Linked DNA regions of Sus scrofa. The protein of the gene in region 2 purifies or fractionates together with the protein of the main gene of each other region. This does not show direct contact. Links are inferred from orthologs where the notes say so. Each region holds a gene or a part of one and is shown on either strand. Other genes may lie near its edges. The genes, in order: CFLAR and tumor necrosis factor receptor superfamily member 10B-like.

Region 1 (3,812 bases), on a different chromosome or scaffold from region 2:
CGTTAACCCACTGAGCAAGGGCAGGGACCGAACCCGAAACCTCATGGTTCCTAGTCGGATTCGTTAACCACTGCGCCACGACGGGAACTCCTTTTTTGTCTTTTTTTTTTTTTTTTTTTTTTTTGGCACCTCCATCTTGGCAGCAGAATGCAGACAACTGGTGACAGGATCCGCCACAGCTTGGGTGGCTCACCTTTCTTTTCCCAGCTTCTGGGAGAGGCACTGCAGGTACACTGACGATGAGCTGGAGGGCCGCTCCAACAGGGACACATCGGCTTTGCACAGGCTCCAGAAGAAGTCAGCTTCTCGGTGAACTGTGCAGGTCCCTGGCTGCCTAGCCTTGGAATCCATACTTTTCACTGATGGCCCGTCCACCTCCAGGAAGCTGCTGTCCTCCAGCTGGCCCTCTGATGTCACATAGATCTGAATAAAAAAGAGCTTTGGCTTCCCTAAGAGAGTAGGGCATACATCTGCCATGAACATCCTTCGGATATGATCCAAAGGGAACCCGGAGAGAGTCTTATCCACGCCAAACACGCTCTGGGAGCCCCCTCGGCTCACAAGGACACACACGAAACTGTCGTAGTCTTGGTGTTGGGGCATACGGGCAACTTTGCGAAGAATCTTGCTTATTTGCTCCACTTTCAGATACAAGAAATACTGTACTTCATAGCCCAGGGAACTGAAGGTGTCCCGAAGAACATCTGGAAAAAACAAACAAACGTGAAAAACAACATAGGGGCAAGAAAAGCTCCAGAAACACTGGGCGGCAATCCTAAACATGGTCTAATCTCTGCTACTTGTCTGTTTCCGATTTTGTGTCCTATTTTGAGGCACCGAAGTCCCTGAGAATGGGGCAGCCTGAAGCATGAGGTAAGTGACAGGTCCTCAGTTAGGGTCTGTCCTTCGTTCCATGGCTTTTCCTTCCCAAGGGCACTGCCACATCTGGGCATGGGCATAGACTGAGCCCACCTCTAGTCTAAATGAATCAAGAGAGAAAAAAAAAAAAAAAAGACTTTTTCCTCTTCAACCAAAACAAAGCTGGGATTGTGCAAAAAGTTCTTTCTTAAAATCACTCACAAGCTCATAGGAATGGGTGCATTTGCAGAGTGCAGGTCCAAACCCAGATCCAATGGCTGCAGAGAGGAGAGGCCCAGGTCATGAGTTCTCTCACCTCCACCTGCTATGGGCTGATCCAGAGGTGCCTGGATTTAAGTTGGAACCATCCCCAAACCCCTCAGCTCTTCTCATGAACCACTTCCCAGTGTAGCTTTTGACAGAACTGGGGCGGGGGGAGGGTGGCATGGCCAAGACATGACCTAAAGTGCCCCCAAAGATTTTTCTCCTATCTTCCGGGAATTCAGGTTAATTTTGCCTCGAGAAGCAGTGTAAGGGAGTGGAAAAAGCAGACAAGCCTGCCTCCTAGCACTGACCTCACCACACCTATGGGCTGCATGGCTTTAAGGAAGTAGGTCTCACTAGTTTGGGGTTTTTTTTTTTTTTGCTTTTTTTAGGGCTGCACCCACAGCATATGGAGGTTCCCAGGCTAGGGGTCCAATTGGAGCTACAGCCGCCCACCTACACCACAGCCACAGCAACTCGGGATCCAAGCCACGTCTGCGACCTATACCATAGCTCACAGCAACACCGGATCCTTAAACCACTGAGCAAAGCCAGGGATTGAACCCACAACCTCATGGTTCCTAGCTAGATTCATTTCTGCTGCACCAGGATGGGAACTCCTCTCCATAGCTTTAAGTGGAAGTGAAGATAGCCACCCTATGAGGATGCTGTGAGTATTAAATTAGTGTAATACAATACATCTCCTGGTGCTCAATAAGAAAGAGTCCCTGCTGCTCTTTAAAAAATTCTTTTTGTCCATCTTCTAGAAGTTTCTACGGTCCTGAGACGAAAGAAACCCCACCCAAACTACTTAGTTCCCATCTGCTCAGGTTGCCCTCATTGGAGAAGTAAACACAGAAATATTTCATCTTTCTAGTAGCAAAGAGAGACATCTTTCTCTTCCTCATTCAAAAAGTCCACATCCTTTTGAGCTCCCCAATAAGTTTCTATTCCTTGTCTGAGGGATGCCTCCAGTTCTCAATTCATTTTCAAGGCAGAAAAGCTGTTCTGGCCTAAGCCCAGAGGTAAAACAAGAATCTTCCCATTCAGGTTGTCACCCAAACAATTAGCCACTTCTCTGGATTTGTTTCCATGTGTCATGACTACGTACCCACTTCTCTTCCTCCCCTGAGGTATGGTCGTCCAGGAGTCTACCACTGCACTCACCCCAAACCCAACAACACAACAGTGTCCAGAGCAGAGATAACTTCCACCAAGGAACAGAGGGGCCCCACCTCATACCAGTTTGGGCGTCATACAAAGGGGTCAGGGGGAGATAAATAACTGAAGGTTATGACACATCACCCTTCACTACCGATTCTCAATTCTCCACACCAAATAAGAACAATATGAAGTATGGAGAGTCACAAATAATTCAGGATAATAACTTCAACCAATAGTTTCAACGTCTTGTCTTGCCAACTTTATCAGCGAGTATTACACTATAAAAGTGAAAGTAAGCAAATGTTATTTCTCTTCTGGCTTCTCAGCAGGAAACAGGAAAAAGATTAAAAGTTGGGAAAGAAACACAGCCTTGGGTTAACAACAAACTGGGAACTAAGCAGCCACTGGACAAACAAGAGCTGGCTCGAGTGCTCTTAATTCAATTTGGCCAGCCTATGGGCAGTATCTGGACACAATCACATACAGTCTCGTAGAACTTTCTACTCAGGAGGCTCACATCCTGCCAGATATGGCAGATTTAAATAAGTCTGTGACTCCTCGACCCTCCTTGCTTAAAAAGATAGTGTGTAATCCCCTCCCCTTGAACACAGGTAACTCGTTCCTAATGAATGGAGTGTGGCAGAAGGGCTACCACGTGACATTCAAAGTCAAATCACTAGGGGGAAGCCAGCTGCCATGTCTTGAGAACACTCCAGACAGGGCCCTGGTGCCAAACAGGTCCCCAGTGCCATGTGAAGAGGCCCACATGGAGAAGAACGCAAGCCACACACCAACTTCCCAGCCACTCGAGAAGCTCCTCCAATGCCAAGGACCCAAGCTGACATATGACAGCAACCTCTCAAGAGACTCAGGGCTGGGACAGCCTGGCTCCGTCACTTCTAAATTCCAGACCCCCAGAAGCTATGAGAGGTATAAATAAATTAGTATCGTTGTTTTAAGCTATAACATTTTGGAGCAATTTGTACACATTATGAGATAAATAATTCACTAGGTAAGTCAGCAAAAGGGAATGATAATAACCATTACCTAAGAATGGAGTGTAATTAAGCAACTTACTTTTCTCCTTCCGCCTGACCCGCAAGTAAGGTAGGGGTGAAGAAAATGAATTAAATTCATTTTTTGAAATATATATATATCAAGTAATAATAAGATACAAGCCCCCAAGAGATATAAAGAAGTTGCCAATCTCCTTAAAACCTTACAATAACTAAGTATGTTCAAGGAATGACAGTTGCTGAAAACCTATTAAGTACCTCACTTGTCAGCATAGGAGCTCAGAGTGCTAGGAGAGGTGAAGAAGCACTGCCCCCTAGGCACGGCCTCTGAGGGTGTAGGTAAGGCTTGAGATCCAGTTCTGAGCTGGGGATGACACACAGGGCTGTACCATGTACCAGGTACCAGGACAGAGCCTGGACAGGACTCAGGGGCCATCCCCACTGCTTTATTCCAAACGCTCCCTTCCGGAGTGGCACTCTCTAGTCATGGAGCACTCTCTCCTCCAGGGG
Region 2 (3,812 bases):
CAGTTTGGAGCCCCTCCCATTCTTGCACATGTTCTAATGGTCCGTTACCGCGTGACTTTTGCCTTACATTTTCTTCTGATTTTAAAAGGATCCATGAGGTAAACACATCCTGAGATGACTGCCCATGAGCCGGGCCCTGTGTCATCCCACCCCTGGGTGTGGGCAGAATCTCTGACCTGCTTCACACCAAGAACACACTAAGGGGATAGGATGTCACTCCCTGACTGGGTCACATTCTGTGGCAGAGGGGCAGGATGCCACTCTCTTTCTCTCAGTTACACCCGCCCTCCACCATACCTCCAGTCAGATCTCGTCTCTCTCCACATACCGCCCATGTCACTTGCAGCGCCAGGGGGTGAGGTGAGGGGCACTCTCATCATACGCAGGATCATACGCTGGAAGATAAGCATCCTCCAGCTAGGCAACAGCGCGCAGGAGGACACCCCCAGCACCTACAGAGGCTCCTCCGATGCTCACCGCATGGCAGCCCCACGAGGGCCAGGGGTAGGGGCAGTGGGGGAACGCCGTTGTAGAAATATAAATGGCCCATTACTGCAGCCATCAGATAATACGCCAAGGTTCCTGTGAGAAATCTCTTTCTAACGTTGGGCTAGTGGGCTCTTGACTGTAGCTGAGGACCGGGAGGAATCTGTCCATGAAAATACGCCCCGAAGCGGTACCTGGGTGGCACACGAGGTCACCCAACTCAGTTACACCTGCCCCGGGAGAAGAAGGAACAGAGGCCACAACCACTGCTGTCCTCCCCTGTGGTTCGCTCTGGTAGTTTCACGCCTGCGGTTTCCTCTCTGTGTCCTTCCTCAAAATGGGAGAGTTCCACATCCAACTGGGCTTCTGAAAGCACAGTACCTTCCTTCACAGATGAGGTCCGAGAGCAGCCAGGTGGTACGTGACTGTCGTGTAAAGCCCATCGATGGGTGAACGGATAAAGCAATTGTGAGGTATATCATACATGTATTATATATGTATAATCACTATATATATCATATGTAACAATAAATACAATGCATATGATATGTCATATATCGCCTATATATATCACACAGACCATGGAACATCATTTCGCCATAAAAAGAGGGAAATCCTGCCATTTCACTGACGACATGGGGAGGCCTCGAGGGCATTATGCTGGTGAACTAAGTCAGGCAGAGAAAGACAATAAATATAATCCCTCTCATAGGTGAAAACTTAAAAAAAAAAAAATCAAGCTCACAGATATGGAGAACAGAGTCATGCCTGCCAGAAGTAGGGGGGAAGGGAGTTGGAGGAATGGATGAAGAGGGGCCAAAAGCAAAAAGAAAAGAAAACAGAACTGTATGTCACCTGCGAGTGAACAGGCTCAGAGACAGCGCCCTGACTGGGCTTTAGCCCCGGACTGGGGAGGATTTCTCTTGGCTGATGAGAAGGTTTCTCGCTTCCTCTTGGTTCTCAATGCCAGGGTAGGTGGTGAGGCTGGGGTTCCCGGAGACCTCCACCAGCCTGAGGCATCAGTCCATCCAACCTGCCTTGGATTCTCTCTGGCAGCTCCCCTCCATCGGACCACATTGACTCCCTGTCCCCTAGTCTGACTCTTACTAGAAGACCTGCCTCAAGCCACAGGGGTCAAGGGGCAGTGGGTAAATGTTTTAAATTTTTTTAATTCCAAAAAAAAAAAAAAAAAAAAAAAGCTTTCCTTAAGTCACAAAGGGATTCACTGGCTTAGGGGCAGTTAGAACCCAGAGCCCTCCAGTGGACATGTTGGCATTCTGGTCTACAATTTAAGAAAAGAAAAGAAAAGAAAAGAAAAAAAAAAAAATCAAAAGATCTGGTTGGGGGCGTGGCTATGGAGATGAGAGTGGGCAGAAGGCGGCCCTCAGAAGACAGGAGACTTATGAGCTGGTTGGGGGCGTGGCTATGGAGATGAGAGTGGGCAGAAGGCGGCCCTCAGAAGACAGGAGAGTTATGAGCTAGTGGGGCATTTGCGCTGGAAAGGGGCAGGGTCAGGACGCGCCCCCGGAAAGCAGATTTGGAATGTCACCTCAGCCCTGTGCCCACTTCCCAAAGGTGCAGACTGCCTTTTAATGAAAGCACGTCCCCAGGGCTTTGGCCGCCAGAGCCAGTAATTTCCGCTTTGGGCTGCAGGGTCGCTCTGAGGGACTCCGGGCCCCTCTCCTGATGTGACTAGTTAGAGGTGGTTAATGTTGTTTGTTTGTTTGTCTGCTTCCACGGCCTATGGAGGTTCCCAGGCTAGGGGTTGAATCGGAGCTGTAGCCTCCAGCCTACGCCAGAGGCACAGCCACGCGGGATCCGAGCCGCGTCTGAGACCTACACCGCAGCTCACGGCAACGCGGGATCGTTACCCCAGCGATCAAGGGCAGGGACCGAACCCGCAACCTCCTGGTTCCTCGTCGGATTCGTTAACCACTGCGCCACGACGGGGACTCCTAGAGGTGGTTCATGTTAACCGCACCGCTAGCGCCGGCTCACGCGCCCGCGCAAATGGCGCAATCTCGGCGTATAAAAGTAAGGGCAGGCTGTGTGATTAGACCATAACGTCCTGCCCGCGCACCCAGGAGGCAGCAAGTACGATCCGGCGCTGCAGGAAAGACGCTGTGGACTCCCGATGGCTCTACCGGCCGTCTGCCCGCATCGCGATCGAACGAGGAACTGGGGACCGAGCGCACCCACCGCCTCGGGCGCTCCGGCAGGGCGCGCCGCCAGCCCCCAGCCTTCGCGCCAGGACCTCAGGGCTCCCATCGTCGTGGTGTTGGTGCTGTCGGTGAGTCTCCGCTCGCGAAGTCGCGCTGGTTCGCCGGCCGGAGGGGGGGCGGGGCGGGGCACTAGTGAGTGACAGATCGCACTTCCTTTCGTTTCCCCTTCCCTCTCTCGGATCCTCCTCACTCGTTCTCTCTCAATCTTGCTCTCTCTGGGTTTAAATTCTAAAACGTGCCCTTTTTAAATAGATGAACTAGGGCGGTCCCTGGCCCCTCCCCCACCGTGGCCTTACGCTCCGTCGTAATATCCTTTACCCTGCAAGGATCGTCCAAGTTGGAAACGATCTTTAAAGTTACTTGCTGCTTGCGGCAATGTATGAGTGCTGTGTAGAAACCATAAATCGTCTCACGACCCGGACCAGATGCTCACCACTTCCTCTAGGAGGTGGTTTGGAGGCTCCGTGTAGGATTTATCACTGTTGGTGTTCATCCTCAAGATACTTACTATGGGAAGAAATCTGCACACTTCCATTTTCTCAGGTTGTGGCTTTTTTTTTTTTTTTTTCTTTTTCTTTTCTTTTTCTTTCTTTCTTCCTTCCTTCCTTCCTTCCTTCCTTCCTTTCTTTCTTCCTTCCTTCCTTCCTTCCTTACTTCCTTTCTTCCTTCCTGTCTTTCTTCTTTCTTACTTTCTTTTTTTTCTTTTCTTTTTTTTTTCTTTTTTTTGGCCTCCCCGTGGCGTATGGGGTTCCCGGGCCTGGGATCAGATCCCAGGCGCAACTGCAAACCACGCCGCAGTTGCAGTAACGCGGGATCTTCAAGCCACTGTGTCCGGGAAGGATCCCGCGAACCCGAGTCCCAAGACGCAGGGGATCCCGCTTTGCCACGGTGGGAACTCCTTGAGGTGCTTTTCGAAGTTTCTTGCATGTTTAAAAAAAAAAAAAAAAAAGGGCCAAACAGGGTTATAGGAATCATGAAAATGTCTGTTTTCATTGAGCAAATTACTGCTAAAATCAGAAAAGAAAGAACATTTTGAACTCACAGAGAAAATACAGACGTATTTATTTTTTAAATTTATTTTGAAGCGATTTGTACTTTTTGCCA

The links.
Region 1: the proteins of tumor necrosis factor receptor superfamily member 10B-like (region 2) and CFLAR purify together in Homo sapiens (affinity purification with western blotting; 5 studies listed by BioGRID and IntAct, with this or other methods). This does not show direct contact. The link is inferred for Sus scrofa from reciprocal best matches to the Homo sapiens genes TNFRSF10A and CFLAR.

The regions. Positions count from the first base shown.
Region 1 is NC_010457.5:104,823,744-104,827,555, reverse strand, and holds part of CFLAR (CASP8 and FADD-like apoptosis regulator), read right to left. Parts: intron 705-3,812; coding exon 194-704; intron 1-193. UniProt on the Homo sapiens protein: Apoptosis regulator protein which may function as a crucial link between cell survival and cell death pathways in mammalian cells. Acts as an inhibitor of TNFRSF6 mediated apoptosis.
Region 2 is NC_010456.5:7,357,423-7,361,234, reverse strand, and holds part of tumor necrosis factor receptor superfamily member 10B-like, read left to right. Parts: intron 1-2,570; coding exon 2,571-2,776; intron 2,777-3,812. UniProt on the Homo sapiens protein: Receptor for the cytotoxic ligand TNFSF10/TRAIL. The adapter molecule FADD recruits caspase-8 to the activated receptor.